Schizosaccharomyces pombe: one gene and its partners. The gene in region 2 interacts genetically with the main gene of each other region. Each region holds a gene or a part of one and is shown on either strand. Other genes may lie near its edges.

Region 1 (3,757 bases), on a different chromosome or scaffold from region 2:
ACCCTTTGCCTTGGCATAGTCAACAGCAGCGTCGACGAGAGCAGCATATTGGGGCTTCTTAGAAGCGGCCAAGATGAGAGAAGGGTTTGTGGTGGCATCTTGGGGTTTGTATTTGGCGATCGATTCAAAATCTCCAGTATCGGAGACGACAACAGTGCCAGTGGCCTTTAATTGTTCCAATGAAGACATTTTGATAAAACTACCTCAAAAACTCGTTAGTAAATACTTTTTCCAGACAAATAACTTCGTTTTTCCTAAAAAACACTACAAACATACCTTTTCTGAGTTTCTTGGTGTTCCTAAGGATATAGGTTCTGGTTAAGTTGTGTGTAGCGTGGAAACTTCCACTTAAGCATTTTAGGTACGTCAGCCAAAGTTTCTTTGAATTTGCGGAGAACTTAGCAATGTTTGTCTAGATTTAATTGATTGCTTAAGCAGATGAAAAACTTTCGATTTTACTATAAAATTTCAGAAGAAAAAAATGGAAGCTGCAGACTGTGCTCAATGCATTCTTCACCATCGAAAGTATAGGAAAAGTCGAAAAAATTTATGAAAAAGAAAAATTTTAAAAAATGGTCGAAATCAGATTGTTTTTTTGTTCCAAATTGAAATATATAATGTCAGTAATCTAAGAAAAATAATGCGCTGGTCGCAAGCGGGATCCCGAACAAGATATTGAAGAGATTGACATGACTGGGCTGATTGCAAGTAGTGCCTTAAGGTATGTATTAATGCTAGAACGTTACAAGTATAGTATTGGAAATATTTTGTTAATTGGCACATTTCTTTTGTTTGGTTTGAGCGACATGACAGCAGCAAGTTGCTGCATCGGACATGATCGATGTTCGCACAAGTGTTAAATAGTTGGACCTAAAATTGAATACATATCCATGGAAAACTCTTAAATTGGTAAAAGCATCTGATACTCTTTGGATAGGTATACTCTTCTACCTACACTCTTGTCGATTCGAATTGCCTCTTACAGTAATACAAATGAGATTAGCTTCTAAGGTATCTACAGTCTTCAGAAATGGTCAAGTTCGTAATTAAAAAGGCTTGGTTTTAACCTGTTTATGGACATTGTCTATATAATCGTCAGCGAAATCTTCAAGCATAGTGTGAGATACACCTGTATACCCATAGTTGACGAGCAGATAATCGTAAGGCCTTTTATTTGACTTTCATTACTTATTATTACTTTAATCACTTTTTAAGTAATTTTCTTCAAAATAAACCACCGATATCTCACTCGACATTTAAAAAGAGCTATCTGTATATCCACCTGATGACATTCCATAGTCATCGAGTACAGCTTTGTAGTTTTTCAATAAGACACCCATTCCCGTATCAATTTTACTTTCAAACCACCTTCTGTAACATGTTTCCGGTCAAGTTCAAAGTCACACGTGAATGAATTGTTTGTAGACAAATAAACATCCATAAACTGAGCTTGTCGTGTAATAGGAAGAGAGTCGAGTAAATTCAATGTCATTGCACTTTATAAACTTTCTTCTATTTTTTTCTAGTTTCTTTTTATCTTACCATAACATTATCATTTAGATGAATCAAGTTCAATCCCTGACTCAACAAATTCGCCAACTTTACCTCTCTTTACACTCATTATTTTCAAGCAATTCTATTTGCAAGTCCAAAAGCTTTCCTAATGCCACAAATATTCTATTTCTCACCTTTGCCTAAACAATGGCTCGTCTTGCAACTTGTCAACTCCACGTTTGACTACTTCTAGCAGAATTTATTAAGGACGACTGTGATTGTCTAAACTTGAATTATTTGATAAGTTATCGTATATTCATCTCATTCCCATTGCTGCTTTCGTCCGTATACTGATCGAAATTGGTTTCATTCTGTTACGAATAGTATATATCCTTTCAACAATATCTTTCTTCATCGTAGAAAAACAAAGACATTCTTTTTATTAAAACCCTTACTTTACTTTAAAGATGATTCCTGAGGCGTGTCTTTTCGATATGGACGTACGTACATAGTAAAATAATATGGATCATTTACGGCGTCCATGATCAACAAATACAATATTTATTATCGTTTATTTGTTTTTCATTCTACTTAAAAGTGCTTAGCCTGATGATTCCTTAAAGCATACTACTTGAAAAGCGATAAAGTGTCCTTCTATCTAACGAATACAGGGCTTGTTGGTCGATACAGAGTCAATCTACACAAAAAGCACTAGTAAGTTTTACTCTTCCTTTTCCCTTTCTGTTCAAAGGTATTGGTTAGGCTAACGGTGCGTCTAGATATCATTTTAAAGCGCTATAACAAAGGCCCCTTCTCCATGGAAGTCAAGGCTAAGATGATGGGTAAGTGGCTTTGAGCTGTTGTTGTTTTTTTCAACCTTCTAATCATTCATGCTTTAGGCCGAACTTCAAAGGAGGCCAGCAGAATCTTTTTGGATTGGTCGGGTATTGATTTGACCTGCGAAGAATACATAGCATTACAACGTGAAACTCAAGCTGAACTATGGAGGCATACAAAGCCTTTACCTGGCGTTATGAATTTGTTAAGTAAGTTGAAATCACTAAACATTCCTATAGCACTAGCCACTTCCAGTGACACACACAACTTTGAAAAGAAGTCCGCTCATTTGAGTCATTTGTTTGATCATTTTGATGGAAACATTATCACTGGAGATGACCCTCGATTACCCGTCGGTAGAGGCAAACCTCACCCAGATATTTGGTTCATCGCTTTGAAGATGATCAACGACAAGCGCAAGGCTCAAGGCCAGGCAGAAATCCTGCCAGAGAACTGCTTGGTTTTTGAAGATTCCATTACAGGAGTTCAATCAGGCCGGGCGGCAGGCATGAAAGTTGTGTGGGTTCCTGATGTCAATATTCTTCCCTTTTTTTCTCTTTCTCCAGAACAAGCTGCGGACAAGCATATAACAAAGGTGCTAAGCTTGGAGAATTTCGATGTTACAAAGGTATAGTTGAATTGGTTTCTTTCTCTTACTTTCTTCATTTATCGCTTTTGCTTTATATCTTTTTTTTTGCTCTTTATTTAAGACGCAGCATGCTAGCTGCATTATTTACTTTTTATTCTTCGTTTTACTGATATATTCCCATGTCGTAAAATCTTTAAAAATGAACTCTCATCAAACATTCCAAATCTTTTTTGAATACTTTTCACAAATAACAATCATTACAAAGCCCTCATCCTTGATTCTTTCTTCAATCGTTTGAAAGTGTCTCATCTCCAAGTATCATTTTCACTACGTCTAACACTAGCTATCTAGCAATTTTTCTAAATGTTACTACACATGAGGTATTTTAAGAGATATTGCTTTTCTTATAGTTTGATTTTCAAGAATGTTGACTTTTACAAAAAGTACCTTTTTGGCCAGCACTCCATCATTTAGATGAAAGCACTTATATATTAATAAGGTAAAATTAATCATAAAATAAACAAATAAGTAAAAATTTTAAATTAATTTAAAAGTTCATCCTTCATTTTAGTACTCTCTAGCTGGACTTAGTTCTGTTGGCGCTTATTGGTGAAATTTGCCTGTGTCTTTTCCATATGCCACACCTCAAAGAATCCTTTTTCCAACCACCAAGGATACTATTTCTTTGCTAAATTCCAGTGGTAAATCATTGCCATGGGGTATTCTTTGGGGTACATCGGGGAGCATTGGGAAGAATACCGGGCTGTATTGTACATAGTCTTGCTGCTGCCTGTACTGATCCATTTTCTGATTCGACGAAAAACCCAATTGTCCAAT
Region 2 (3,757 bases):
CGAGCCCAATCAATTACTTTTCTCTCATTTACCATGTAGCTTAGATAATTTTATTTACTATTACATTTTTACACTTTACTAGCCTAAATGAATAATAAACGATGTGTATTGAATAAATTTAATATATCTGTAGAATAACACTAATTGATGTTTACGCTAGTATTGAACAATTCATAAATACTCCGATTGATTTACAAATTTATATACAAGAAGACTATCCTTCTGTAATGTTATCAATAAAAGAATTGAAAAGGAAAAGTAACACGAATCAGAGAAACCAACAAAGATAAAAGGGATTAACCCTCGAAAGGTCTATATGTAATAATTATGGACACCTAATATCATAAATGTCTAAAGACAGACATAGTTAGGTATTTTTTGAGAATTAAATTTAAGGCAAAGCAGGAACGCTCCAAGGGTTGTTAGGTTCCTTGCCGTATTGGATATCCAAAATCCATTTGCTGATTTCAGAAGTGATGGGACCAGCTTCCTGACCCTCAGGCATGGGAATTTCATACTCAGTACCCTTGTAGTTAATAGCCTTGACGGGGGAAACAAGGGCAGCAGTACCAGCTCCAAAGACTTCCAAAAGGCGACCTTCCTTAGAAGCTTGAGCAACCTCTTTCATGGAATACTTGCCCTCAGTAATCTTCCAGCCTTTAGGTGCGAGACGTTCACGGCAAATTTCCAAAATAGAATCACGAGTGACACCAGGTAAGATCATACCGTCAAGAGGGGCAGTAATGATTTCTTTTTCGCCATTCTTGTTAATCCAAACAGTAAAGCAGTTCATAGTACCAACCTCAGTAATGTAGTCCTCGTCTCCATAAAGCCAGAGAATCTGAGCATACCCCTTCTTGGCAGCCTCTTTTTGAGGCAAAACACTAGGAGCATAGTTACCACCAAGCTTGTAGTGACCAGTACCGCCAGGCCAAGCACGAACGGATTCTTCGGAGCAACAAAGCTTAACGGCCTTGAAACCAGAGCTGTAGTAGGGGCCAACGGGAGAGGCAATAACATAAAGCATAGCGTTGTCACAATGGTGGACACCTAAGGCTTCATCAGTACCAATGAAAGTAGGACGAATGTACAAAGAGTAACCACGCTGATCAGGGACCCAACGGTTTTCGTGAGCGACGAACTTTCTGATAATTTCAGCAAGCTCAGCAGGGTCGAAGGAAGGAAGAGATATACGAGTACCAGTTGAAAGCATACGCTCAGCATTCTTGATGGGACGGAAAAGACGTGGGACACCCTTTTCGTCACGGAAAGCTTTCATGCCTTCAAAGCACTCAAAACCATAATGGAAAACGGAGGAAGCAGGGTGAAAGCAAAGTTTACCAAATGGAACGATCTCAGGAGTACTCCAACCCTTTTCTCTGTTCCATTTCATAATAAGCATATGATCAGTAAAATTCTCACCAAACTTCAAACTCTTCCATTCGGGCAAAGGTTTAAGCTCCTTAACATTAGTAACTTTTATATGGGAGCTATCCATGGGCTTTGGGCCATGGAGAGCAGCAGTTTGAACCATGGTACGAAGTTGTGTAGTGTTGAGGAAATTTTTACAAGCCTCAGAGCTTTGTTGAGAATAACCTACAGAGCCACGTTGAAGGGCAAAGCGAATATTTCTGCCTTTTATATTGCCCGCTCTCCTCAAAAACATTAAACTCATTTTTTCTTCTTCTTCGCCTGATACCGAAAAAGTTGGGGCTAGGTAAAATAAATAATAGCGTCTATCCAAACGGATCTAGAGACGGCCGAGATTAGATAGCTGATTGGTAACAACTACAGGGTGCTAAATGGACAAGTAGGTTTGTTAAAGAACCGAGATCAATAGTGATAAAGACTGACCACGTGGCCACCTTTAATCCTGAGTACCATTGGCATAGCTTTAGTAGTAATAGCATAAAGAAATTAGTTTGAACTCATAAAGGAAGCTAATTTATCGACATCAATTTTTATAATTATGATTTTGACACTCAAATTATTAAACCGATGTTGGAAATAAGCGATCATCGCCTAAAACGTATGTCAATTTTTTCCCTTTTTATATTGCGACAGGTGTAAATGAATTTTGAAGAAAATGAAAGGTTAGAAGGAATATTTTAGAAAACTAGGTTTCTTAACATTCTCGAAAAATGTTGGACATTTAGAACGCAGTTGAGATACATGTTTAAAAACTCTCTCAAAAGTTGCAAATGGCCTATTCTTTTAGCAATAAAAAAGCATTCGTTAAAACACTAGGAGTAGGAGTATAGATTTTCCCGTGCAATTTAATGAAGATTCATAGGTTTGAGATACGGTTATTTGGTAAAGTTGTGGGCAAAGAATATAGATTCTTACACATGCGGTAATCAGATGAGTTTGAAAATGCGCTGTTTGGTGTGATTACCATGTTTAATTATTGAAGATTTAATGCTTTGGTAATTCCGGATAGCTGGTTTTTCGCGAAAATGTTTGAAATCGGTGATTTTGGATAGTATCTTAAAAAATAAGAAAATTGTCAGAAGAAGCACCTTCTTACGCGAAGCCTTAGTTTTATCATTTGGAACATCTCATGGCAATGTTCATTTTGATTTATAGAGCTACAGATATTAAAGGGTTTAAAAAAAGGGATTGATTGATTCTTTTATCCGTGTAATGGAAAAGGAGGACTAGGGATTTTTTTTTTGGCAAATTACATGACTTTCAAATATTTTAAATGAATTCTATTAAACTTTTGTGTCGTTCGTGTGTGGTAAAAGGTGAGTTGTTGACGCCAAAAGGAATCGTTAATGTACGCGTTATATCTTGAGAAATGTTTAAGATTTATCCCGACCTATTAATATTAATGATTTGGAAAGGAATTACAAAAGCTACGGAGTCACTTGAAAGGCTTTGAAGTAAGTCGAATTGAAGAATTAGCTTCACCTAAAGGCGGTACGAGTGAAGGTTATAGATTTCGTACTAGGCATTTAAAACTATAAGTATTTCCTTTTTTGTTCAAACACTGACACAACTCGTTTATACTATGTCTCGTAAGTCTTTCTTGAATATATAAATGCTCACTTTCTGTTCGCTCTACTTTTCCTCCTTAATACCTAAGTCTTATACATAAGCTATTACTATAGTTAAAAATTATCTATATTATTCCTAAGGACCCAATTGTGTTAACAATAATATAAGATGCTAAGTCTAGTAGTAGACGGTAACGTTGGTGGAATGCGCCTGACATTGCGAGTTAAAATTAGCAATACCATTAGAGGTAGAATTAACACGAACCGAAGAATTCAAGTAAGCGCTCAACTCGCATAACCCATCTGAAGCACCACTAGGACCATAACCGCAATCAGTAAGGGGGTATACTTGCTGGTTGACGAGATGGCGTACATAGTATTTATTATCAGAACATAAGAAAAGTTCAGTAATTAAGTTTCCTGCGAAGGGAACGAACGAAGAGGTTTTTAATGAGTATGTAAAAATGTTTTTGTCAGTCGGTAGAGGGTGCTCAGGAGTAATGTCGGGGAAAAACCCAAGAGCAGCCTCGACTGGAATAATTTGAGAGTCGTGGGTAAACGCTAAGAATACCTTACGATCGGAAGCATTATTCACACCCTTACGAAGATTATTTGCAAGGTTATTAACATAAGCCCCACCTAATGTGGAAGCCCATTCTGAAGCGGGACCACCCCAATATGCGTAGTCAAGGTCACTGTCATATTCAAAATTCAAAAATTCAGAGGGAGTAAAGAGTGAACAGAAATCGCTGTTATCT
Region 3 (3,757 bases), on a different chromosome or scaffold from region 2:
GCTGTCTGTATACAAGAATGATTATCGATCAAGTGATAAACCTGATCAGGAAGGCAAAACCCGCTCTCATCCATTTCATAACCAATTTTCAAATAGACACCACTAAACGTATGGAAAACATAAGATAACCAACCATCATAAAACAAATTTGGAATGTCAAAGCGATCTGGCAGCTCGAATTCTTTTAACTTGAGAATTTTACATGTACACGGTATCCACGAAATTGAGTCTAAAAGTAGAAAATGCGTATTGTGAGGATATTCAATATCTGCATATGTAATCGCAGCCATTGGATTTTCACATTGGCATTTCATACAAGCCAATTGGCGCTTATTTCGACGCATGCATAAAATTAGAAATTTCGATATTTTCAGAGCGAATTTGTGAAGTATTGTTGAATGAAACTTGACAACATTTGCATTATAGTTCATGGAAAATAATAACTATGTTTGCATAACACTAACAAGTATCAGAAATTATAGTTATAGGGAAACCTCAACAGAAATTAAGCACTTTACAATATGCCAAAAGATCCAGCTTGAACCAGCTGGCAAAAAAAGTAAAAATGCTGCGTTGTAGGATTAAATCAAATTAGTAATGAGAGAGGTAAATCATAAAATCCCATCGTCAAGAGATTACGAGCAATCTAATTTTGAAGGAAAAAAGCCCGCAAACAATAAATGATGCCAAAAATTCGCAACCAAGTAATGTAAACAATAACACAGCTGAGCTACTGCGACTTATGTTATTATGCTACCTATGCTATTTCCATCACTAAACCAAACTGTTACTACCGCAATTAGTAAAACATTGATGGCGGCTAAATTTGCAGTTCTTTTGCTTGACTTATCTCTGAAAATTTAATGCATGGATAACATATCTGAACCCCAAACATTCGTTTTTAACGAGCCTATGCCAACGTACCTTAACACTTTCAATAAGAAAAAGCAAAACTTGATATCACGCTACATAGCACCTATAATTCATTACAAGAAAACATAATTCATTAAATAACGTAAAACAGCTCTAGAAACAAAAAACTTATATGAATACCAAAATCAGACCAAATAACTCAACAAGACGCTATCGCGTTTCAGTGCTTGACTCTTTGTATTTGTCGATCATCATATTTTGGGAAAAGCTACATTTAATAATATGCTAACTAAAAGTAGGTCTGGCTTGATTCGAACAAGCACTCCGACAGAGTAAACCAAATTTTCAAACCTTTTTCTTTAAGGAAAAAAACCTTTGAGCACGAGACTAAGCCCCATTGTGATACATCAACAAATGGATGCGACCGTATAACTATCAACTACGACGAAAAACCACAATTCAGAAATGGCGTAATCAACCATACCGTTCGTACACTAGACGCTCAAGAAACACAACTCATAGACTGTATTCCTTATCTACTCCATTCTGGACAAGGAGTTATATCTCTTGAGGTTTAAAGTACAAAGGCTAAAGGAAAAACTAGCGCCATTAATGAAACCGCTGATTCTTCAAGTCAGCACGTTACCGCCTGTCCCAATCTCCATGGAGATCAAGACGCAAGAGTCCGGGGACTTTCCCTAAAGCTGTTTAGAGGAATAAAAATTCCTGTATGACTGCTTCAACCACGATCGTTCGAGCTCAAAGGTATCATTTGGAAAAATTAAAGTGGAAACAGTGGTATATATATTACTGACTATTTACGTGACTGTTTATAACCCTAACCTGTTTTTGGATTGAATAGATCTGTTGCTCTGCGATTCTTCGACGAGCAATTGACCGACATAGCATTTAATACTTTCAGTATATCAATGAGCAATGTTCTTAAGTGTTATCGGAGCTGTAGTAGCATATCACCTTGTAATAAAAAAGTTATTGACAGAATCCCTCATTCATAACGACTACACTGAATATCATTATTTATGAATTGTGTAATATAATGTCTAAAATAATAGTATACTGGCGACGTTATCTTCAGTTAATTTATCAAAAGTATGATACGCTAAATGGGAGAATGCATTTCAATGGCTGCCTTAGGTCAGAAAGTTGAGAATGTTGAAAGGACACAGCGCCAACTTGATCTATTTATGATAGTCCCTTTACTACCTTCCTTGAATCCAAAGTGTTGAACTTAGTTTACTTCTGCTCAAATTCGTCTTCTTCAAAGCCTTCATCCCGTAGAGATGTTGACTTCGTGGAGAACAATTTCTCTACTGCAGAAAACTACCAGTCGCTTCATTAAGCGATCAAAGACATATGCTGATGTACGTTATAACAGTCAAGCATTGCAAAATCATGGAGTTCCTGGTAACAAACGTAAATGGATGAAGAGGTTCGTATTTGTTGGTGCTGCTGGAATAGGTGTCTACGCTTGGGATCGAGTGTATAATGCCCATGCACTTACCCGTAGTATTAGAACAGTATACACCGCTTCTATAATTGCGGCTGACTATAAGTTGAATTTCAGCGAAAAAAAGGCAGACAAAATTGATGCTTTGCACCAAAGAGTAGCACAGAGACTGTTTAAAACGATTTACAAAAATGGCGGTTTATACATCAAGATGGGTCAAATCATTGCTATGCAATCAAATAATTTGCCTGAAGCGTATGGGAAAGCCTTTCAGGGAATGTTTGACAATGCACCTCAAGTTGAATGGGAAGAACTTCAAGACATATTCAAAGAGCAATATGGAAGACCAGTAGAGGAAGTATTTGCCAGCATTGAGAAACGTGCTGCTGCAAGTGCCAGTATTGCGCAGGTACATCGTGCTGTTTTACCTAGCGGTGAAAAGGTCGCGGTAAAAATTCAAAAACCAGATGTTGCTAAGCAAATGTCGTGGGATCTTCTCGTGTACAAATACATGATGTATGTTTATGATAAATGGATATTTCATATCCCTCTCTACTTTACGGTTGATTATGTCTCGGAAAGATTACGTTCTGAGGTTGATTTTACAACTGAAGCTAACAATTCGGAACATGCTCGTGAAGGGGTAGAAGAAACTGATTATTTAAGAGATAAGATATATATACCAAAGGTTTATAAAGAGATTTCTGGAAAGCGAGTAATGGTTACTGAATGGGCTGATGGCATTCCCCTCTATGATCAAACTGCTCTTTCTGAAGCTGGGATGAGCAAAAAGGAAATTTTAACGAACCTTTTCAGATTCCTTGCCTTCCAAATGTTTCATTCGAAACAAGTTCATTGTGATCCACATCCTGGAAATATCCTTGTTCGAAAAAATCAAGCAGGCTTGTGTCAAACGGTAATTTTGGATCATGGGTTATATGTATTTGAATCAGAAAAGTTTAGAAAAGAATTTGCCTTGCTTTTCACTGCAGCCTATTCATTAGACAAAAAATCTATTCTTCAGGTAATGGATGCTTGGGGGATTGGACAACCTGAGCTTTTTGCTAACCGCATGTTAAATATTCCAATGGATGAAGAGCAACCTCACACTGGTGAAAAAATTATTTCAAAGAAAGAGGCCTTCCAACAGCAGCTTGCTGAACGCAAAAAGTTCATTGGCTTCTTACAGGACTGCACTCGTTTACCGAAAGAGCTGTTAATGCTAGGTCGCTGCTTAATGCTTATTCAAAAAAATAACCAAAATTTTGGGTATCCAGTGAATAGTATAGCTGTTATGGCCAAGGTTGCTGATAAATACACTACCGACAAACCTAGTCCAACTTGGTATCAACGGCTGTTGTCGCCTATTTTTTGGGTCTTTCAACATTTATTTTACCCTGGAAATTTTCGGTTGCC

The links.
Region 1: mutations in eca39 (region 2) and SPOM_SPCC1020.07 together harm fitness less than expected from each alone (positive genetic interaction), as found in Schizosaccharomyces pombe (one large-scale study listed by BioGRID).
Region 3: mutations in eca39 (region 2) and SPOM_SPAC10F6.14C together harm fitness more than expected from each alone (negative genetic interaction), as found in Schizosaccharomyces pombe (one large-scale study listed by BioGRID).

What each region holds. Positions count from the first base shown.
Region 1 is NC_003421.2:769,930-773,686, reverse strand, and holds SPOM_SPCC1020.07 (pseudouridine-5'-phosphatase), read left to right. Parts: upstream 1-1,723; 5' UTR 1,724-1,961; coding exon 1,962-1,994; exon of another isoform or gene 1,995-2,165; coding exon 2,166-2,208; exon of another isoform or gene 2,209-2,273; coding exon 2,274-2,336; intron 2,337-2,393; coding exon 2,394-2,965; 3' UTR 2,966-3,412; downstream 3,413-3,757. Other genes in the region: tal1 (transaldolase), read right to left, coding at 1-189; wybutosine biosynthesis protein Tyw1, read left to right, coding at 3,635-3,757.
Region 2 is NC_003423.3:442,240-445,996, forward strand, and holds eca39 (branched chain amino acid aminotransferase Eca39), read right to left. Parts: upstream 1,698-3,757; 5' UTR 1,676-1,697; coding exon 392-1,675; 3' UTR 105-391; downstream 1-104. Other genes in the region: thiamine-repressible acid phosphatase Pho4, read right to left, coding at 3,178-3,757. UniProt on the Schizosaccharomyces pombe protein: Catalyzes the first reaction in the catabolism of the essential branched chain amino acids leucine, isoleucine, and valine.
Region 3 is NC_003424.3:1,232,341-1,236,097, reverse strand, and holds the start of SPOM_SPAC10F6.14C (ABC1 kinase family protein), read left to right. Parts: upstream 1-2,056; 5' UTR 2,057-2,174; coding exon 2,175-3,757. Other genes in the region: SPOM_SPAC10F6.15 (uncharacterized protein), read right to left, coding at 1-431.